3 linked regions of the Notamacropus eugenii genome follow. The protein of the gene in region 3 interacts with the protein of the main gene of each other region in a biochemical or structural test. Links are inferred from orthologs where the notes say so. Each region holds a gene or a part of one and is shown on either strand. Other genes may lie near its edges. The genes, in order: CACNA1D, WWTR1 and SHANK1.

What was found.
Region 1: the proteins of SHANK1 (region 3) and CACNA1D interact in a biophysical measurement, tested with the Homo sapiens proteins (2 studies listed by IntAct, with this or other methods). The link is inferred for Notamacropus eugenii from reciprocal best matches to the Homo sapiens genes SHANK1 and CACNA1D.
Region 2: the proteins of SHANK1 (region 3) and WWTR1 interact in a test that uses a peptide from one of them, tested with the Homo sapiens proteins (2 studies listed by IntAct, with this or other methods). The link is inferred for Notamacropus eugenii from reciprocal best matches to the Homo sapiens genes SHANK1 and WWTR1.

The regions. Positions count from the first base shown.
Region 1 is NC_092874.1:478,296,897-478,304,314, reverse strand, and holds the start of CACNA1D (voltage-dependent L-type calcium channel subunit alpha-1D), read left to right. Parts: upstream 1-4,418; 5' UTR 4,419-4,433; coding exon 4,434-4,500; intron 4,501-6,367; coding exon 6,368-6,424; intron 6,425-6,707; coding exon 6,708-7,026; intron 7,027-7,418. UniProt on the Homo sapiens protein: Voltage-sensitive calcium channels (VSCC) mediate the entry of calcium ions into excitable cells and are also involved in a variety of calcium-dependent processes, including muscle contraction, hormone or neurotransmitter release, gene expression, cell motility, cell division and cell death.
Region 2 is NC_092877.1:338,525,232-338,532,907, reverse strand, and holds the start of WWTR1 (WW domain-containing transcription regulator protein 1), read left to right. Parts: upstream 1-4,630; coding exon 4,631-5,079; intron 5,080-7,676. UniProt on the Homo sapiens protein: Transcriptional coactivator which acts as a downstream regulatory target in the Hippo signaling pathway that plays a pivotal role in organ size control and tumor suppression by restricting proliferation and promoting apoptosis.
Region 3 is NC_092876.1:4,917,464-4,924,783, forward strand, and holds the start of SHANK1 (SH3 and multiple ankyrin repeat domains protein 1), read left to right. Parts: upstream 1-4,221; 5' UTR 4,222-4,466; coding exon 4,467-4,718; intron 4,719-4,987; coding exon 4,988-5,191; intron 5,192-6,096; coding exon 6,097-6,168; intron 6,169-7,241; coding exon 7,242-7,320. UniProt on the Homo sapiens protein: Seems to be an adapter protein in the postsynaptic density (PSD) of excitatory synapses that interconnects receptors of the postsynaptic membrane including NMDA-type and metabotropic glutamate receptors via complexes with GKAP/PSD-95 and Homer, respectively, and the actin-based cytoskeleton.

The sequences.
Region 1 (7,418 bases), on a different chromosome or scaffold from region 3:
CATAGGGAATGAATGCACCAGGAGAAAACTGGGCTCAAGCTCAGAGTACACGTGTCAAGGTAGGTGACTCAGTGTTTCTGGAAAGTTTTTCTGTAGAGTTCTCAAAATGTTTACCCTGTGTGGCCTGGCTCTCCTGCTGGGCATCTTCTGAAGTCCTGAAGTCCAGTGTGCCTAGTTGGTCTTTGCTGCCAATGCAGACTCTGCCCCTGGCCATATACTGTTGAACCAACCAGAGAAGCTGCTAGAATGCCAGTAAAAAGTCCGAATCCTCTGACCTTCTAGAGCACACAAGGTCATTCTCTGGTGACCGAGGGGACGAGGCTGAGGTACTCTTTTCTCATCTGACAAAGTTATTGGCCATAGTTACCGCAGGTTACCATAAGGCTAGTTACCTTAGTTGGATGGGTTGACTGATTCAGTCTTTCCTTCTCCCTTTCCCTCCTCGCTCCAATCCCACACTTAGACAGGGAAGGAAGGGAAAGTAAACGAGTATGAATACAAAATAAGGGTAGAGTTATGTAAGTACTGTCTCCAACAAAGCCAGAATGGACCAAGGCATGCTAAGGATGACAAAAAGGTCCTGTTTTTAAAATCTGTGTTTGAAGCAGAAAGGGCATCTAAGAAGAGAGGGGATTGTTGTTTGGCATAGATGGCATGATGCCAATATACAATGGTAAGAAGACCCAACTACTCAATTCTAATTTTGCTCAGGTTTTCTCTTCTAAGGAGAATCATCTCTGGATAAAGAACGGCAAGCAGAAAATCTAAAACGAAGCTAAGGTTAGAGGTGTTAAGGCAGCATCTGGCTGCCCTCAGCTACTACAGACAACCAGGCCTGGACCAACTACATTCTGAGACGGTTCAGGCAAGGCAGAAAGATCAGTGAGAGTTTTCATTTTTATTTTATCTTACATGTGAAAACGACTTTTAACATTTCATTTTTTAAAATTTTGATTTCCAAGTTCTCTCCCTCCTCCCTGAGTAGGCAAACAATTGTCTTGGCTATAGATAATACATTTGCTGCCATACAAAACATATCTCCATCCAGTGGGGCTTTAATGAAACCTTGTACTACAGTCGTTGTGTTGGTAGGAACAGAGAGCAGGGAAAGAGTTCCAGAACTATTTTAATTCAAGTCAAGAAATGTTTAATAAGCCCCACCCATGTGCCCCTCCTGATGTGAGGGGGAGGCAAAGACAAGAATGAAATAGCCTTCATCCTCAAAGGGCTTCCATTCTACATGAATAATGGATCTACATGGATCTGTGACCTCTTCCATTTGGTTCTTTCCTCCAGAGATGCAGATGGCCAGTCAGCCATGCCTGTCCATACCTAATGGAGCCCTCTCTCACCAACGTCCCTCAATGACTTTGCCACCAGGGCTCCTTTCAAAGTGGTGGAGGGCTTCCTATCTTTGCCATCTCCAACACAGGAACGGAACCCTCAGGCTGGCTCCTGGTTGGCTTTGGGTGTGACTAGGCCACCTTCTCTTCTTTTTCAAAAATCCAAATCAGGTCAATGCCGCAGCCTTCTCACTCCTACAGTCTGTCTCTCCATTTCTTGTTCAAACACCCTCCAAGGATCACAAACCTCAGGTGAGGCACAAACCAGGAAGATGTATACTCACAAAAGGACAAAAAGCTGTGATGGAGATCAATTTGAACAAGGATTCATTGTGAGGTCTCTCAGATTCTTCTCTTGGTGGATGCCATTATGATGGTTGCATCAAGGATAATAAAGAGCCTCCTGGAAGAGATCTGAAATCCCTCAGAAGAGTTTGATCAGACTATTCACACAGGATAGACCAAGTGGATGAAGAATGTCTTTTATCCAGATTAGGATATGTAGCAGCTTCTGGAGTCTGTCCATCAGTAGTCTGGTGGGTTTAGCATAATGCCTGGCACTTAGTAGGTGCTTCATAACTGTTTATTTACTGATGGATTGATGTACTGTGCGGTCTTTGGGAAATGGCAAAGGTTCTTAAATGACCTCAGACTTCCCATGAAAACAAAAGACCACCTTTTTAATATCAACATTCTATTGATGTTACTGTGTGGTAGCAAGATATGGAACATAACAATCTTTGAAGTTAAAAATGGAAACAATGTAACATGTGCCCTTGGAAGTAAATACAAAGAATATACAGTTATACAAGGTAATTTCTCTCAAAGGGAGAATGCTGATCGCTTAGAGCATCATATACAGCTTTGCCTCTCAGTGAGATTTGAAGGCCACTGGCCAGGCTATAAATTCTAAGAGCTTGAGGTGGAGAAGGAGTGAATTTCATGCCTCAGAGACAATCAGTGCAAAGACCCAGAGTCAGGAAGAGCAGAGTTCAAATCCAGCCTCAGATGCTTACTAGCTGGGTGACCCTCAGCAAGTCAATTCACCCTGTTTGCTTCTGTTTCTCATCTGTAAAATGAGCAGAAGGAGATGGCAAATCACTCCTGTCTCCTTGCCAAGAAAACCTCAAATGGGGTCATGAAGAGTCTGACATGACTGAACAACAACAGCCAGCAGGGCAGTTTGACTGGAATGGGGACTGTGTGACCTGGAGGAATCTGAAACTGGGCTGGCAGGAAGGTGGGAGCCATATTGCCGAGAGCTTTCTGAGCCAGGCTGAGAGTATGGCTGGCCCTCCACTTTGTCCTGGTGATTCTCAGTTTTAATTCTTCAAACAGTACAGTGGAAAGAGCCCTGGCTCTAGAGATAGAGAAGCTCCGTTTGAATTTTGTCTCTGACACTTAGTACCTATGTGATCTTGGGTAAGTCACCTCAGTTTCTTCATCTGTAAAATGGGGAGGTTGGACTAGGTGGCCGCTGAGGACCTTTGCAGCAACAAACCCAGGAGCCCAGGAAGATTTTGAGTAGGAGAAATCAATGGTTCAACGTGCACTTTTGGAATATTCGTTTCCTACCTGTGTGGGGGAAGGGAGTGAGGCAGGAATAGACTGATGAGGAGAGGGTAAGGTCGTAGAAGGCATACTAAGGTCAGGAAGAGGAGCAGGCTTTCGAGTAAAGGGTATCTTTGTAATCCTCGATTTACTCATCAGAAAAAAGAAGGGTTGCCATGGTGGAAGAACTCTGGTTCTGGAGTTAGGAGACTTGGGTTCCAAATTCATTTTTACGTGACCTTGGGCATGTCATTTTCCAGCTTCAGGCCTCAATTTCCTCATCTGTAAAACGAGAAGGTTGGACGAAAGGGTCTGTGACGCCCTTACCAGCCTTGGATCTCAAGACCAGTCAGGTAGAATCTGCCTGGTCAGCTCTCCGAGGGCGGGGCTAGGATCGAGGGACACCTGAGCCCTCCCAGGGGCGGGGTCTCCTTCAGGTGGGCTGGTCTGGAGAAAGTGGGAAGGGGGGCGGGGCGGGCAACTGTCATGCTCTCCATCCCGTCATCGTCGTCCCCCTTCTCCTCTGGCCTCAGAATTGCTAGGCAGGAGGAAGGAAGGCTGAGCCACCAAGGCCACCCGGTTCTGTGTGATTCATCCCCCCCCCCTCCCTCCCTCCCTCCTTCTCTCTCTCTCTCCCGCGCCGAAAGAGTTAACTGCTCTTGTGAGGGGGGAGGGGAGGGGAAGGGGAGAAGTTAACCCCTTCCCACCCAAGGGCCAGAGGCCGGTGAGCCCCAGGAGCCCCGGGCCGGGCTTGCCCCCTACCTGCTGTCCCACTCCAGGCCTGTGCATCCCCCCCAGCCCCTCTCCTGGGGCCAGGGTCCCGGAGGCAGGAGACCCGGCCCGTGCTCGTCCCCCGCCCCATCTGGGGGTTGCGGGGAGGGGGAGGAGAGGGGCCTGGCAGCGGGCCGAGCCGGGAGGAGGCTCCGAGGAGGAGGAGCGCAACGAGCGGAGGGAGGAGGGAGAGCGGCCAGCAGTGGTGGCAGCAGCAGCAGAGGTGGCAGCAGCATCTGCAGCAGCGGCGGCAGCGGCCTCGCGGGGCCAAGGCGGCAGCGGCGCGGAGTCTGTGTGGAGCCGAGCTCCTGCCTTCCTGCCCTCCTGCCGGTCCGCCTGCCGGGGGCCCGGATGTGAGCAGCAGCCCGGCGGCGGGCGAGGGCCGGCCGTGGGGCCCCGGCTGCCTTCGGCGGGGCCGGACCGGGGAAGGGAGGCCAGGAGGCAGCAGCCCCCTGCGCGGCGGCAGGCGCAGGGCACGGGCACCGGCGGGCACGGGCGGGCATGGGGGGCGGCCCGAGCGGCCCCCGCACCGCCCCCGGCCGCGAGGAGGAGACCTAAGCGGGGTCCGAGCCGCCCTTGAGCCCGGAGCTGCCGCCGGGCAGAGCCGAGTGGGTTATCGTAGGGCCGGGCAGGGGCGGGCACCGCGCCGCACCGCAGCCCAAGGGCGCCCCCAGCCCCACTCCCGCACCCCCGCGGCGGGCCGGCCGGCGCCGCCGCCGCGCACGCACACGCACACAGCAGGCGCTCGATAAATGGTCCGGGAGGAGGATGATGATGATGATGAAAAAAATGCACCCCCCGAGGCGGGAGGAGGAGGAGGAGGAGCACGCGAAAGGTGCGGGCTTGGGGGAAGGGAGGATGGAGGCTGGGAGGGATGGAGGGATGGAGGCAAGAAGGCTTGGACGATTGGAGAGAAGGAGGGATAAAGGAAGAGAGGAAAGGAGGGAAGGCCCCGGTCTGAGGATGCTCGGGAGCTTCGTTGCAGCGACATGTTTGGCGGGGGAGGGGCCGTAGGTGGGGGGTGGCCTCCAACCAGATGCAGGGAGCTCGAGGGGCGGCCCTCCGGGGCCGAGGTGACTTTTGGGTTTCACTTTCCCAGCACCGAGTCAGGTGTGTGGGTAGGGAGGGGGTGCAGGTGGAGGCCGGAAGCTGCCCAGGTTGGAGTCCTCAGCTCGGCGCGATCCTCTTTCTCCGTCTCCCCATTCTGCGAGGCCAATGGCTCTGGGGGGAGGCTCATCCTGCTCCCCTTCGGGCCTTTTTCTGTCTCCTATTCTTGTCTCAGTGTGACATTCCCGGCTCCCCCATTGTCTTGGGGGGCGTATGTTTCTGGTCTTCATCTCCTCCATTTCCCATTGCCTGGAGCGGCCCCTGTAACATAGCCATAGCCCCAGCACTTCCTGCAGATCGCCCCCCCGCCCCCCAAGAACCTGGAGAGACACGTGCGCTCCCGCCCTGCCGGCTGTCTGCCCTCCCTCAGCGTTCTTGCTCACAGCTCCTGGCTTTCTGGGCAGGCTGGTTGGCAGGGCTGGGGTCCCTGGGGCAGGCTTGCGCCTCTAACCTGAAAAAAGAGGGAATGCTCCTTTTCCAGGCCCCAGGAGGGGACCACAGCAACCCCATTTAGCTGAAGCCAGAGATGTGTCCTCACTTCCACATCGATACCAACTGGATGGGTGGGCTAGAAGCCTGTGGGCCCGAGGCCACATTCCTTTCCTCGGGTTATTCCAGGGTGGCCCAGAGACTGGGGCCAAGGTAACTGTAGGTGCTCTAGTGACTAACAGGGCAATTTATATGGCCCAGAGGGAGCTTTGGGACGTCTGGCCCTGGGGGTGGTAATGACCCTTTGGCTTTGATACTATTTATTTCCGAGTTGGGGATGCACTTTGTCTTCCCCAGCTATCTGGTTTCCAGGGTTTATTCCTTCTCCATCTCATTGCTTCTCATTGGCTTGACCCCTCTCCCTGCATCTTCCAATATGACTTAGGATGCCCAATGTACTGGTTTTGCCTCCTGTGGCACTGGGAACCATCTCAGCCATGTTCACAGACAGAAGCATCTTTGGAGGGCTACCCTGACGGTTGAGCAGCTGACAAACTCACACAAAACGGCCCTGTGGATGTCTGGGCATCTTGTTTCAGGCTAGCTAGCTAGGGCTCTGGGAAGCTTTTGGAAGGGGGAAAAGGGGTCCCATCTCCGGTTGGGAGGCCTCTGGTCTGGTGCAGGAGCTGTCATTTAAAAAATGCCAAAGGCAGAGATGGTTTCAGAAGCCAGCAGAGGAAATGAATGCCAGGCTTCATGAATTTTCATTTGAAGGAAGCGTGGGGACATAATCCAGATTATTTGCTTTGCCCGGATGACAGGGGAGGACTCTTTTTGCATGAGCTGGAAAGAATGTTTCTTTCCTTGCTGTTGAAAGATGTGGGACTGTCACCCTGAAGATGGACCATAATATGGAACGGAGGCTTCCTTTTTCTTTCCATCAAAAATCTTTGGGGTTTGGGGGGATTTCAGTGCTAACCAGAAGACCTGAACTTGGGGGCAAGGAGCTCACCTCCTGAGAGCTCAGAGCCTGGCATGGAATAAGAACTGATTAAAGATTTTTTCATTCATTTGAAGAAATAGAGGAAAATGTGTTTGGGGGAGACACAGGGATACAAAATTCACTGCATTGTGAAAACCCATTGTTTCTGCCTCCACTTTGGTAGACAGCCCTGGGCTTTGGAAGGTGAAGAATGAGATTTTGGGCGCAGCTATGCTGCTGAGTGAGTAAGAAACTACATTTTAAAAAACAGTTTGGAGGGGGGAAACCTAATAACACACACTTGTTCAGCTAGAGAACTTATTCATGTTGTTCTATCTGTCTGCCTCTCCTTTCCCTCTCCCTCTCTTCCCCTCCCCTCCCCTCTCTGTCTCTCTCTCTCTGTCTCTCTCCCTCTGTCTCTCTCTGTGTCTGTCTCTCTCCGTCTCTGTCTCTGTCTCTCTCTCCTCCTCCTTCTCCTCCTCCTCCTCCCTCCCTCCCTCTCCCCACCTTCTCTCTCTCCTCAGAGGCAAACTATGCAGGAGGCACCAGGAACTCAGTCTCTGGTGACAGACCACCGTTCCGGCCGAAGAGCTCCCAGCACTCCCAGCAGACTGTCCTCTCCTGGCAAGCTGCGATCGATGCTGCTCGCCAAGCCAAGGCTGCCCAGACTATGAGCACCTCCACCCCCCAACCTGTCGGGTCTCTGTCCCAAAGAAAACGTCAGCAATACGCCAAGAGCAAAAAACAGGGGAGCTCCTCGAGCAGCAGGCCAGCCCGGGCCCTTTTCTGTTTCTCTCTGAACAACCCCATCCGAAGAGCCTGCATTAGTATCGTAGAGTGGAAGTATCCTTTTTGTGAGTCGGGTTGGGTTTTTTCACCATCTGTTCCTCCAATATATCCCGTGTGCTCAAAGGATTTGGTCTCTGGAACCACACTTACGGAGCATGGCGGCTTGGAGCCCGAGGGGAAGGGGATAAGCTTGGTTTTATTTTAACCTCCGGCTCCCCAAGTGGGAAAGGGGTTAGCTCTGCAGTTATATTTAGCCTTCTGGGGGGGAGGGGGCTGCACTTGGGGGAAGGCTGTCAGAGATGGCAAAGCAGGCAGTTTGCCTGGGGTGAAGGTTGGGCAGCTGGTGAGAGGCACCGTGTTCAGGCTGCCTCTCCAGTCTCTCTTGGCTTTGGGCTTGGCCAGGCCTGGAGCCCATTTTGGTTTTCAAAAGAGGATTTTAAGAAAAT
Region 2 (7,676 bases), on a different chromosome or scaffold from region 3:
CAAATATGATTCAAACCTGGGTCTTCCAATGTCCTACACAACTAAATTTCCCACTAACCAACAGCTATAGGACTTAAGGCCTGTGGCCTCAGCAATGGCTCTGGTGGGAAGCATGGTATAAAGAAAAGGCACTGACTGACTCTGGTATCAAAAGGAGGTGAGTTAGACTCCCAGCTCTGTTGGTTACAGGTTTATGATCTTGTACAAGTTATTCCTCTCTTTGGGTTATCCATAAAATGTGTGTGTGTGGGGGGGCAGGGGTTCTAAAAGTATATTGATAGGCTAAAGGCTTAGGCAGAATCTAAAAATATGAAATTCAGTAGGGACAAATGTAAAGTCTTACACTTGGGTACAAAAAATTAATGTCACAAGCATAAGATGGGGGGAGCATAGTTAGAAGTCTATGTTCTAAAAAGTATTTGGGGGTGTCAATATGAATCAGCTGTGTGATGTGGCAGCCAAGAAAATGCTAAGATGATTTGTTGATGCCTTAAGAGCATAACTTCCAGGAATAGAGAGGGGATAGTTCCATGTCACTCTGCCATCATCTCACTTGGAATATTGTTTCAAGCTTTCACAGTTTAAGAAAAATATTTATAAGCTGAAGATGAACATAGTAAAGAGTCTGTATCATATGAGGATTGAAAGAAGTGGGCATGTTTAGTCTGAGAAGAGATTAAAGGTGGATGAGAGAGTTGTCGTCAAGGATTTGAAGGGGTGGCATTTGATTGAGGGACCAGACTTGGGAAACTTGGTATGGGAAGAATGAACCAGGAGTAGTTGGTAGAAGTTGCAAAAAGGCCCATTTGGACTTGATGTCAGGAAAAACTCCCTACCATTATTGCTGCCCCAAAGTGGAAGAGGTTGGCTGGAAAGGTGGTGAGTTCTTCCTCCTTGGAGATCTTTCTTTCATGCAGAGGTAGGACAACCACCTGGATAAGTGAAAGTAGAAATTTCTTTCTTGTATGTGTGGGAGTAGACAGCTGCTGAGGTCTCTTCCAACTCTAAAATTCTTCGGTTATGGGAGAATCTCTAAATGTTGTCCCCCAAAATCCTATAAGCAAGGAGAGGTATGTTCATAGAGGCCTCCAGAGATAATCCATCTCTGCCTAGATGCTGTAATGTAATTATCACTTGTTCTAGAGCTATACTTTTGTTTGGTTTTTAAATTTTTAATTTGTTCCGAACTTAACAAACACAAAAAAACCCCATGAGCATTTCCCTATATGAAGCAGAACATAAAGTGGATCCTGTATGGACCATGAATTTCTATTTTGTACCTCTTGCTTCTTAAAAACATATAAAATAAATCTCACACATTATTTTTAAAGCTGTTCTGCTATGCTGCTTTCTGTACTCTTCTGTTCATTTAAATCCCTCTTTTCATGACCCCGTTTGGAATTTTCTTGGCAAAAATACTGGAGTGGTTTATCATTTCCTTCTCCAGCTCATTTTATAGATGACAAACTGACACAAATAGGGTTAAATGACTTGCCCAGGGTCACATAGCTAGTAAATATCTGAAGCCAGATTTGAACTCAGAAAAGAGGAGTACTTCCTGACTCCAGACTCAGCACATCTAGCTGCCCCCCTTTTTTTCGTTGTTGCTGCTAACTTGTTTTCTGGGTTCTGCCAACTTCAATCTGCATCAGTGTATAAAACTCTTCCTAGGATTCTCTGAGATAGTCTCTGACAATTTCTTATAAGGCTATTGTACTCCATTACAATCATATAAAACCATTTGAACTCAGGTCCTCCTGACTCCTGCGCTGGTGCCCTATCCACTGTACCACTTAGCTGCCCCAAGTGTCTCACCTCAGACACTTGACACTCACTAGCTGTGTGACCTTGGGCAAGTCACTTAACCCCAACTGCCTCATCCTGGGTCATCTCCAGTCATCCTGATGAATATCTGGTCACCGGATTCACATGGCTCTGGAGGAGAAGTGAGGCTGGTGACCTGCACAGCCTGCCCTCACTCAAAACAAAGTCAAATGCAAGTCATTCTTTCTCTGATGGCATGGTCTTCTTTGACAGCAAAGGACGAACACTCACACATACACACACAACAGTTTAGCCATTCCCCAAATGATGGGCACTCGACTCAGTTTCCACATATTTTCTTTCCTTCCTTTCAGTTCTCTTAAGGAGGCATTCTCTGAAGCTGATTTGTTTTGCTTCCAACCATTCTCTCCTCTTATTATTTATTCTCTTTTTTCTTTATCTGTTTGCTATATTGCTACAGTAAACTCTGTGTATATGTGTTGTATCTTCATTCCTCTATTGTCAGCTTCTGGGCACAGTGTGGTTCCTCTGAGGTCTATCCTGACTCCAGGTCTAGTCCATATCCACTTCACCAACCAATTTCTACACCAAACTTTGAGTGTTTTCAACACTCCTTTACCTGTTACAGGGAAGAGGGAGGTCCATCTGATTCCAACTCTTCCTCTTTGTACACTTATGAGAAATAGTAAGGTCCACCAACTTCTTTCTCCTTTTTCTTTTTTTTAACCCCAGTGTATTTTTTTTTTCCCTTCCCTTCCTTCCTAAAACCTTTAGAAGTGAACCAACCCAACTGAAGGTCCTCTGTTACCCTTACTTAACACCCTCAATACCTTTTGGAGATAATAAAGTTCTGAACAACAATATGTTTCCCTTCCCCCATTAGAATGTTAGCACTTTATGGTAGTATAAAATCTTTTCCCCTACGTATGGTTAGAGACAACCTTAATTGGGAGGCAAGTTTGTGGGGAGTGGAGTTTTCCCCTGATCTGAGGATCTCAGTTCTTATACCTACCACCTGCTCAGCTTCCATTTTTGCAATGGAAATGTCAGTGTCATTCCAATCCTCCCACCCACACTTGGGGCGGGATGGGGTGGTGGCTCGCTCTACTCCTTCCTAGCACCTCGCGTTTGACCCGGTTTCCTCTCAATTCCTAGTAACTTGGAGACAAAGGATTAATTAATGGTTCAAAGGGAGTTTGTTTACTGATCGTTAGAAACGAAGATCTGGTAGGGAAAAGCACCCGGGCACTTGGGGCGCTGTCTACACTACAGCCGACTACCACTCCACAATCCGAGCCCCACCACGCCGAGGAGCTCGGCGCACCAAATATGGTCACATCTGAAAAGCCTCCCAGGAAAAGATTGTTCTTGTTTATTCCACCAGGAGCGCTTGTCTGTCGGGTTCCAAATACTCAATTCTTCGGGGTCCTGGCAGTTCCACGGGACTACTCTGTCCTCCTGTTAAGGGAGAGTGTGGCCCCGTACGTAGCAAATACCTCGAGTGGGAGCCGGGGCTGCGACTTCAGTCTCCTCCTTCCTGGTCCCTTTGGGGCCGCAGCACCCAACTCCCAGCTCCCAGACTCCTCTGTCTCAGTCCACTAGTGCTTTATTGAATAGGGCCACCCACCTCCTTTGATCCAGTCCCAGACCCTATCCAAGGCAGTGGTAAACTCAAAGGAATGTAGATCCTGAACCCGGCAGGAGGAAAGGGAGGGAGGCTTCAGCGAACTTCTCGGCCTCGGATCCCCGGAGGAGGAGAAGAGCGAGGGGGGTGTGTGGGGGGGTGATTTTGCCTCCTCTTACCCAGTAAAGTACTCATCACGCCCAGGGCTAGCAGAAGCCCAGGACCGGGAGGAGGAGGAAGAGGAGGGGCGAGCGGGGGCAGGCAGTCTCTGGACGCGGAGGTCATGCATAATTCATCAGCTAAACTTTCGGCCCCGCCCCTTTTCTGAGGGTTGGAGTTTTCCCTAAACTTTGTTTATGGGACAGTCCGGGAGCAGCCGCGGCCGCTCCGTCTCCTCCTCCTCCTCCTTTTCTTTCTCCTCCTCCAGCTCCGAGATAATCCAAGCTTGATGCTGGGCAGATGGACCGGAGGATGTGAGAACGGAAACCCCTCTGCCAGGTCAGAAGTCAAGTCCCGAGCTGGAAGTCCCGGTCCTGTGTCCACTCCCACTGTGCCCCCAGCCTCTAAGCAACTAGCCTGGGAGTCGCTGACGAACGAACCGACGGATCGACGGACCCCAAGGCCCTGGGAGCCGAGTCTGGTTGCGAGACCTGACTTTGCCAAGTTGGGATCCGGACGGCGCGCCGGGCTCCCAGTCTGCGCCTCGGCCCGCTTGGCTCGGGCCGGCTGCCAAGGCTCCTTTGGGCTCGGTCGCCCCGGGATCGGGTCCTTCGTGGAGCTGAACAGCCTCGGGCTTCGGGGCTTGTAGTGCTCGGAGTTCCTGGCCCTGTCGGCTCGGGAAGCCGCGAACTCTCCCCGGACACTGAGCCGCCGGACCACGTCCTAATTAATCCGCATTTCCACGCGCCCTCCTCCTTCTTGTCCTCCTGCGGGGAACTTCGGGGCCACTGGAAAGTTGCATAATTGTCGAGGAGGCGAGGATTTCCCCTCCCCTCCCCCCCGGGCCGGCCTGACTGGCGAAGGAAGGTCTGTTAGAGATCCTCGGAGAGGGCATCGATCCCCGTCCCGTTCCTCTCCAAGTTCTCTCTGAAGTTTTCATTTTTAGGGGCTGATCCCCAGGCCAGCCCCCGCCCCCGCCCCCGCCCCCGCCCCTTTAATAAACCTGCAGCTCGGTGTGTAAGTGTGTGAGTTAGTGGAGAGTGTGAGATCGGGAGGCGCACGATGAATCCCGCTTCTGTACCCCCTGCTCTGCCGCCCCCGGGGCAGCAAGTCATCCATGTCACCCAAGACCTCGATACAGATCTCGAAGCGCTCTTCAACTCCGTGATGAATCCCAAGCCAAGCTCGTGGAGGAAGAAGATTCTGCCCGAGTCCTTCTTCAAGGAACCCGACTCCGGCTCGCACTCCCGGCAGTCCAGCACAGACTCGTCGGGCAGCCACCCGGCCCGGCTGAGCAGCGGCGGCGGCCCGGTCGCCGGGGGTGCCCAGCACGTCCGCTCGCACTCGTCGCCCGCCTCCCTGCAGCTGGGCACCGGGGCCGGGGCGGCGGCCAGCGCGGCGCAGCAGCACGCGCACCTCCGCCAGCAGTCCTACGACGTGACCGATGAGCTGCCGCTGCCTCCCGGCTGGGAGATGACCTTCACCGCCACCGGCCAGCGGTACTTTCTCAAGTAAGTGATGGGACTGCCTGACGCCTTCCGGGGGTCGCGGGAGGGGTCCGGTGCGTGAGTGTAGGAGTACACAGGTAGGTGCGTGTGCACACACAAGCGAGTACATCTACGTGTGCTTGAATGCATGAGAGTGCTGCGTGCCCCGGTGACAACTCTTTCTCAGGGGTGCAAGAGAGTGGTCCCGGGGCAGGTCGCTGTAGCGTTGGCACTGTGTGCGGTGAGGGGGGTGGAGATCAGGACAGTGGGTCGGGATCTGCTGGCTAGGGAAACGTAAATCCCTGCTGTCGTGGGGGCCTGAAATGAAACTGGGAGGGGGGGGGGGGATTCCCAGGCTGCTTGTAGGGATAACCTTGCAACTAAATAAAGGTGGGAGCGATGGAAAAGATGAGTCGTGTCCAAGTGGGTCCAGAGTAGGGCTGGGAGGCTGGCGAGGGCATCTGTAGATGCCAAAGTGCCAAGGAAAATCCGAGTGGGCAAGTTTCCGTCTTTCAGGGTCTTAAGGAAATGATGGGTTTTTTTGGGGGGGGGGGCGCAAGTTTCTCTTGTCTGCAATTTTCTCCTTGATGGAAAGAAAGTTGAAAAAAGTGAAATGGAACGCTGGGAGGTTGGACCGTTCGCCAGCCTCTCGTTGACACCGTAAGTTACTCTGTTGTTAGAGTAGTTACGGGCTGGATAAAACAATTGTGTGGAAATTAGGTCAGGAGAGTTTCTTTGTGTCAGCTGGGGAGAACCAGAAGACTGTGTACATGGCCGCAGCGCCTTTTGCAAAATTTCTCTCCCAATCACAGCTTTGCTGTGAACATTAAACTTTAATTAAAGTTTGGACAGTTGTAACCACAGACTTCCGGAAAGGAAAGCTGTGGCTGCGGCCTCTCTTCTAAGAAACTAATCATCATGAGAAGAAGGCTTGCAATCTGAAACGTGCCCAAGCTCCCAAGGTCCGACCTTGAGCTTATACCAGGGCTGGCGCTGGCTTAACCTGGGTTCAGATATAGCCCTAGATACGTTCATTAACTGTGTGGCGACAAGAAACCTACTTAACCAAGTGGAATCTAGTTTTCTCATCTGTAAAATGGGGACAAGTACTTCCTCCAACTTTAAAGTGAAATATGGAGTGGATTCATATTTGCGATTTTATTGGTGTAGGGGTTCCTGTGTGGAAATGCCCTTCACCCATGTGGATCAGGCACTCCTCCTTACTTGACTGACTGAGAGTCCTCGAGTTGCCTTCTTTGTTTCACAGCAAAGATATTCCAAAGGTCGGACTCGAACCCAGGTCTTCGGTGCTCTACTCACTATGTCGAGTTGTCTGTCAAAAAATCTATATAAGTGAAACTTATCTGTGGAGTCATTCTTTGATACTTTGGAAGATACTGCATCCCTTCTGATTCACATTCGATGGTCCCTTCCAAATAAACTAATCTGTGCTTATGAATAAATTAACTAATAATTAATAAATTAATCGAGTGCTTATTGCAGTGCCTGGAACTGTTTATTGATTGGTTGCCTACAAGGATGTAAGATTTTTTTGGTTGCTGTTTTCATCTCCTTAACTCATGCTGGTGAATAATTATCTGAGAAGCTCTTTCCTGCCCTTTCCAAACCAAAGTAGGTAAAGAGGCTCAAAAGAAACTAGAGGAGATGTGTAAATTTAGAAAATCCACTCCAAGTTTCACATGGACTATTTGCACCCTACCTGTAGTAGAACATTCCAAACTCCTGTTGGTCTGATCAGCCACAACTGGACGCACTAATTTGACTATAGCATAGTGATGTCATTTTGGTCCTCTTCCAGATGGAAGGACAACAACCAGCTAACCAACCAGATAACCTGGTGGCATTCTGATTAATGAATGCTTGATTTTATTTCTGATGTGGACGGAAAACAGAGTCACTGGACTGAAGCGGATGTGTTTTGTCAATTTGATTCCCAACGTAGTGTCCTTGAGCAACATAATGACAAGGTACAGGGGCTGGAAGCCCACCTCTGACAAGAGGAGTTTGATCATAGGTCCTTTTTCTTCTCTGAACCTCAATTTTCTCATCTGTAAAATGAGCATCATATTCTAGGGACTAAAGATGTCCTAGGTTTGAGCTGACGATTCAGTGAAATCCTTTGGGCAAAGAGTTTTGCAAACCTTAAAAGTGATAAAGAAACCCCAGCTTTTAATATAGATGGTAACACTGCACTGACAGGGAATGTTTTAACTTATTAATACCCACTGTAAGTCAAGAATACTATTTATGCTCATATGCATCAGGGTACAATAACTTCGTCTTAAAGGAGGCCCTTTGGGCTTCGCTTATACCATTTTAAAGGTCAGGATGCCTATAAAATTTGTCATTTTAATTTTGCTTAGGTAATGAAATTTTCAAAGATGTTAATGTAATTTTTATAGGCATATACTTAGTCAGGATTAAGTGTCATGGTGTAGTGGAAAGAGAACTGGCTCTGTAGTTGGAAGATCTGGGTTCAAATTCCTACCCTTGTTTCAGCCAACTTTTGTGTAACCTTGACACAGTAACTTTACCTCTCTGGGTCTCAGTTTCTCACCTTTATGAAGTAGAAGGATTAGTCCAGATCTCTCCCACCTCCC
Region 3 (7,320 bases):
CCCTGGCCTCATTCTGGTAAGAAGCTATATACAATAGGTACCCAGACAAGTAGAACACAAGATAAATGTGTGTGGTGTTGCAATGTGCATGCACCTTTGGGTCTGAGTAGGAATATATATGTACCTGGGTCTGCATGTGAACAAACGTGTGTGCCCATATGTATGTGAGTACAAGTGTGCTTAGGCCGGAGGGGGGTCAGTTCAGGATGGCTGGCCTTCAGGTGGGGAAGGGGCGGGTCTGAAAGGGCAGGGCGGGGCTCAGTTGTTAGAGGGAGGAAGTCAGCCGCCCCCCACCAGTCTGGACGGCCAAGGGGTAAGGGAAGGGCATCGGAAGGTGGGGGGGTCCGAAGAGGAAAAGGAGGAGAGGGTGAGAAGTGGAGGGCCTCCTAAATCTTCGTGGGTTGGCTGGGGAGTAGGGGAAAGAGGGATCTGGAAGGGGGGACAGGGGGAGGGGCAAAGCCTCAGGTGGGCGGGTCACGGGAGGGGGGGACCCAGTTGGAGGCGGGGAGGGAACGATAGGGCTTGGGGTCCCACTAGCGAAGAGGAGGGGCGGGCGAGGTTTGGGGGCGTGGGGAGGGGCGAGGTCTCTTCTGCCGGCTGGGAGAGGGAGGGAACGGAGAGGGGGAGGAGAGAGAGACACACTCACACGTTCGGAGAGGGAGAGAGGGAGAGACAGAGAGAGAGGGAGAGGGAGAGCAGGCGGCAGGAGAGAGGGAGCAGGGAAGGAAGGAAGGAAGGAAGCGAGGAGGAAGGAGCGGGAGGCGGCAGCGGCGGCGGCGGCTGGAGGAGAAGGAGGAGAAGGAGGAGGGGAGGAATCCCGAAGCCTCCGCCAAGCCTGCCAGCCGCGAGGGGGGCGGGGAAGGGGGGAGCCCGGAGCCCACCCGGAGGCGGACGAGGGGGCGGCCGGAGGAGGGAGGGGGGGTTCTGCGGATGCCCAGGGCCCGGCCCGGCTCGAGGGGGGGGTGAGGTCCCCGGCCCTCCCCTCCCCCCTCCCCCTCCGGGGTGCAGGGGCATGGCCTGAGGGGGGGTCTCTGTCTTCGGGGGGGTGGGGGGTGGGGAGGGAGGGGGGACAGGGGGCCGCGGGCGCCGCCGACTGGGACCCAGCAGCCCCGCCGGTCAGGTAAGCGGGACTGGGGGCGTGGGGGGGGGGGGGCTGGGGCTTGGAACATGTGTGAGTGCGGATAGAAGGGATGGGGGGTGGGCGCTCCGAGCTGTCTTTAGCCGCTGCTTCCCCCATTTGGGGGAGGGGGAGGGCCTGGGTGAGGGGAACCGTTGCCGTGGGCAACGTTGAATTGGGTTACGCCCCAGTCCCCGGTGCCCTGTCCCAGATCCCGAGCCGAGCGGGAAGGGGGTTGGGGCCCCCTTGGAGCCCGTCTCCCCCAAACCCTGGCCTTGCTGCTCCACTCCTACCTTCCTAGCCTCCTGGGTTTGGGTGCTCCTTCTCCGGTGCTCCCCCACCTTCCCTGGCCACTCCCCCATCCCCCTGGTGTCCCTCACCTCTCTCATCCCCGGTCCCACCATCTCTCCCAGCGCCTCCGTCCCCCTTGTCCTCTCTGACCCCATCTGTCTTTGTCTTCTCTGGCCCAGCGCCCCCACCCATCCCTCTTGTCCTTTCTCCTCATTCCCTGTCACCCCCTCTCTCTTATCTCCGTTCCTCGTTTTGTCCTCGGTCCCCTTTGTTCTCCCTCCGTCCCGGTTCCCCTTCCTCATTATCTCTCGTCCCTTCTGCCCCATGTTTCCACTCCCTCATCCCAGGCCCCTCAGAAGCCCTCACCTCATGCTCTCTGTCCGTGGTACCCCCTCCCCTCCTGCCGATGAGGCCTGGGCCTCCATGCCCTTCCTCTCCATCCTCAGAGAGGTGCCTTCTCCTGAGCCTCCCCCCTCTCGTCCCCACTGATCTTTCCCGAGCCTCCCCCCCCCCCGTCTTCCCACTGTTTTCTGCCTCATCTTTCCTCCGGCGCTTTCCTCATGCTTCCTTCCTGCTGATTTTCCTCTCTTTCCCATGGATCCTCATGTCTGCTGCCATCTCTTTATCCCTACCCCCCTCTCTGCTCCCCCTATCTCTCACCAGTATTCTTTACCCCGTGCCCCATTAACACCTCAGTCCCCTTCTCCCATTCCTTCCTTCCTCCCACTTCCATCCCAGCTCTTTCCCTCATTCAGCTCGTACTATGCTACTCTTCTCTTTCCTCTTCCTTCTCTCCTTGCACCCCTCCCCCAAGCCTTTTATTCCCTCCCCCTTTCCCCAGCCTCGGGCCAGTCTCCCCTTTTCCACCCTCGTTACAACCGGGTTCTCTTATCTCTTGCCCTCATTACACCTCCCGCCCCCCCTCCCCCCAGGCTCATCCCTTCTCAGTTCCTGGAAAGCCTCCCTTGTCCACCCCCAGGAGTCTTCTCTTTGCCCTTCCTCCCTCCTATTTCTCTTACCTGCCCCCCATTCCCCACTACTTCCCTCCTCTACCCCACCTCAGTCCAGTTTCTCCTTGTTCTCTCCAGGAGCCTCCTGTCTGCCCTCTCCATTTCTCCCCATCTTCACCACCCTCACTCCCCCTTTCTCTTCTCCCTGAGCTTCAACCTGCCTGGTGGCCTCTCGGCCACCCCTCACCCCATAGCCCCTGTTTCCCCTTTTCTCTCCCCCACCCCCAGGGCTGCCTTCCCCAGCCTGTCTCCTCACCAGCTGCGTTCTAGCTATTCTTAGCTATCGGCGCGCTTGATTCATGCCGCCCCGGCTGTGTGTGCCAGCTCCCGCCCTCAGCCCGGGGCTGGGGGGGGAAGGGGAGAGCCAGTGTTTGTCCAGGCCTTGGGGTGGGGGGTTCTGATGCTAGCGTTGGGAGGGAAGGAGGCAGGTCTGCAGGGAGACGGAGTCAGCTCTACTGCTCTGGGTGGTGGGTTTTTGGGGGGGGGGGTTGATAAGCTGAGTCTCTGGTAGCCCCACTCCCCCCAAATCCATCAGGGCTGGGGTCAGCTGGAGCATTGGGTTGGGGATCATGTGACTAAATGCCAAATCTTGAGGGGAACAGGAGCTGGGAGGAGTGGGGGGGTTGCCTGGGTCCCTGTCAGAAAAAATGTTTCCAACACAATTTGTCCTCCCCTCACCCCCCTCCCAAAGTCAGCTGGGCCTTGGCTGCTTTGAATTTCCATGGAAACCCAGGAGTCTGGCCTTGCTTGGGATGGGGGTGGGGGGGAGGGACAAAAGCCATGAAGTCTTGTTTCTGGGGCTGAGGGGAAGGGGCTAGACAAGAGGGTGATCTTAAGCCAACTCCCGCTTCCACCACAGGACTACTTTCTCACACAACCTCAACTGAGGAGGATGAAAAGGGGGGGAGGAGAGAGATGGAGAGTGAGAAGAGGAAGGAGATAGGGGGGCCAGAGAGAGAGAGAGAGAGAGAGAGAATCTGGTCCCCTCACTATCAACACCACTCCCACTCTGTATCCTCCAAGTCTACCCCCTAGCCCTACATCCCCATGTATTTCTGTCCTAATTGACCCCCCACCCAGTTACCATCATCCTCACCACCATCCCACTGGCACCAGCACCAATGCATCAGTCCTCCTCGGTGCCACACCCACCTCATCCCCATAAAAAGTCTTGTTCCCCCTCCCCATGCTATCACCCTCACGGTCTTCACCTATATCAATCTGGTTGCCCCCTATACCTGCACAGTGTTCTAGTCACTGTCCCCCATTCACCATATTTTCCTCTGGGGACAATTAGCTTAACAGCACCCTTTGAGGCACCTTGTCCAATTCCACACATACTCACAGAGTTACCCCAACTACCAAAGCTGCTGTCCCGCCTTTCTTTCCCTTTTCCTCTCAGTCCAGTGATTCCAATCTCCCCCTTCCACCAGGTGCTGGGACAGGGTGAGGAGCAAGGCCAGGGCAGGAGGGCAGGCTACCTGTCAGGCCACTCATGATCCCACGCCTAAATTTAGCAGCATTTTTGGTGGCTTGGCAAAGTGGGCCAGTAGCTCCCGCGGTGATTTCTCGGTTTCTGGGACACAGCTACGCTGGGTCAGCGGCAAAGTGGGGCGGATGGGGGGGGGGAACCAAGGACAAGGGCAAGGAGACAGCTCAGGGGCTGCGTGGGTGTAGATGACTTGTGGGGGGGCATGTCTGGAGGTGAGGGAGGACAATGACCACCTTGGTACCTGGGCACCTGCTGTGTATCACAGCTGTTGCCCCTAGCCCCGCAGTGCTCCCCCTCTGGTGTGGGAACAAGTCCTCCAGCTGCATGGGAGTCTGTTGTTTCCCTCCTTTGCCTGTGTCCAGCAGAACAGGAGGGAGGAACAGAGGAGAATCCTGTGGACCAAGAGCCCCTGTGTGAGCTCTTCCCCACCCTGGAAGCCCTTCATTGTGAACTCACTGCTCCCACTTCTCCTGCCTTCTCACAACCCTGGGGTGACCACCTGCTCTCTTCCAGCTGCCTGTGATGCTGCGGCTCCCTGTGGCCCCGCGGCCCCACGATGCCCCGAAGCCCCGTGTCCAGCGAGGAGGAGCGCCGCAGTGTGAGCGAGTGCCCCGAAGGGGGCTCCGAGTCCGACAGCTCCCGGGACGGCCCGGGGAGGGTGCCCAAAGGGGCCCGGGGCCGGGCTGGGGGGGCTGGCATTAGCCTGGCCTCTGCCCGCCGCCTGCAGGGTCGCTCCATGTCGGTGCCCGACGACGCCCACTTCAGTATGATGGTCTTCCGGATTGGGATCCCAGATCTGCATCAGACTGTGAGTGGGGGGTCTGGAATGGCCTGGGAGGCACCAAGTCGGGCAGATGTAGGGACCAAGGCATGTGAGGAACAGGAGAGAAGGCCAGACCTCAGGTCCTTCCAGCTCCAGATGCCAGGATCTACAGCTCTCAGGGGATGGAGAGGCTGACTCTGCTGGGGGGAGATCACCACGGGAGGGGGAGGGATGAGCTCTAAACAGCTGCTCCCCTTCCCTCAAAAGGTCCCACCTCCCTTTTGACCTTCTGCACACTCTCTTCCCTACTCCAGAAATGTCTGCGATTCAATCCGGACGCCACCATCTGGGCTGCCAAGCAGCAAGTCCTGTGTGCCCTGAGCGAAAGCCTCCAGGACGTGCTTAACTACGGGCTGTTCCAGCCAGCATCCTCCGGCCGGGATGCCAACTTCCTGGAGGAGGAGAGGCTGCTTCGAGAATACCCCCAGTCCTTTGAGAAGGGCGTACCCTACCTCGAGGTGAGCGGCACCCCTGCTCTTGGTTTGCCCCATTCTCTCTCCCCACCCTCCTCCCAAGGCACCTCCTCCAACTGAGGCACAAGGGCCCCAAGAATCCCCAAGGGCCTTGACCTCTTCTGGCAGAAAGGAAAGCCCTGGAATTGTTGGATTCTAGAGCTAGATGGCACAGCAATTAGAGCACCTGAGTGCCAGTCCTGGAGATAGAGAAATGCCCTGGTATTAGAGATGAGAGAAGGGGAGGGAGAAGGGTCAGGAGGCTTGTTCAAGGTCAGGGAAGTAAGAAGTGGCCACAAGCCAAGGTTCTCCCCCCCTGCTCCCTGCTGTCCTCAGGGCAGCTGAAGGACACACATTTCCAGCTATGGTGGGATTAGATTGAGTCCCTTAGTTTCCTTCTCTGTAAATGTAAAAGGAGAGCTGGGAATGGGTGGTCCCTCTGACCCCTTCCAGCTGGCGCACAGATCACACTCAGTCCCTGGACCCAGGTTCTCCTCATCAGGTAACTATCTGCTTCAGTACACCATTCCAGTTACCCACTGTGGCCCTGATCCCAGCTTCTGCAGGTCATAGTGTACCGCTGGACTGGGAACTGCTGGTGTCCCAGAACAGTCCATGGTCTCCCTCCTGGCCCCTGTGTCTGTCATGGACAGACACTCGGGGTTCTCTCTCTCCTCTCTTTTCACCCTGGGGACCCACATCTCTGCTCCTCTTTACCTGACACTCTTTGCTCACCTCTCCCTTTTGTTCAGCCGGAGCTGGGGGCCAGGCAGGGGCTGAGGTGTACTTCCCTTCCCCTGCCCCCTCCTCCCTCCCTTGTCCCTCCAGTCTTGGACTTCGTAGTCTAGCTCACTGTCCCCCTAATTCTGCCTCATGTCTCTTTCTTTAATTCACCTCCCACTCTGCCTCAGTTTCGATACAAGACCCGGGTTTACAAACAGACCAATCTGGATGAGAAGCAGCTAGCAAAACTCCATACCAAGGTGAAAGAAAGGGACTCTGTCTCTGTCATCTGCTTCCATCCCTGTGATGCCTCTAGCCACCCTCCCATACCTCCCCCTCATCTCCTCCCTCTGTATGTGTGCCTCAGAATTTCTCCCAGGACCCCCCAGTTTCTTCCACTCAATCACACAGCCTTGTGTCTAGTACCTGAGAAACTTAAAGGCATTATAGACACATGAGGTGTTATTCTATCCTGGGAGTCTCCACAATCCCTTCCCCGTCTCACTTCGTCCCCCTGGTAGCCTTCTCCCTCAAGTCCTGACAATTCTCATTATATCTGCTGTATCTTCACCTCACTATCCATATCTCTCATGAACCCCCATGGCCTCTCTCCTGCAATTCCTTATCTATCTACCTAACTAGCTCTCTCTCTCTCTCTCTCTCTCTCTCTCTCTCTCTCTCTCTCTCTCTCCCTCCCCCCACCCCCCATCTATATTTCTGTCTCTTTATATCTCCTATTTCTCTTACATTGAAAGAGGCTGGGATGGGGGTGGGGAGGAGGGTACCAGTGTGAGTCCCACTTCAATTCTTCAAGTAAAAGGTAAACTCTTTGAGGGCAAGGGATATTTTCTTCTTTTCTTTGTATGCCCTAGGACACTGTCTTGCATATGGTGGGTGTTTAATAAATGCTTATTGAATTGTTGAATTGAGTCAACTGACCGCCATATCCCTCCCGTGACCATACCATGCTCCTTCCTCATCTCATGGCTCCTCCAAGCATCCTCTGTTGGCCCCTCATAGCCTTCTTTTTTGACCCCTGGAACCCTTCCTTTTGACCCCTTCCTATCCCTTATCTTTCTTCCATCCCCAACCATTCCTCATTTCATCTCCCTAAGCTTCCCTTCCTCCCTGAGATGGATAGGCCTGGGGATTCCTGAGTCCACCAGAGAAGGGAGGTAGAGGGGATCTGACACTGGGAGACCTTATGTCTCCTACCATCCTCCATCCTTTCTCCAACCTCTGTGCATCATCCCCTACTCTTCCATGGCTCTAAGTATGTTATTCTCTGTGTATATGTGTGTGTGTGTGTGTGTCTGTGCATGTCCTGACCTAGACCGGGTTAAAGAAGTTTCTGGAGTATGTACAGCTTGGCACATCCGACAAGGTGGCAAGACTGTTGGACAAGGGGCTGG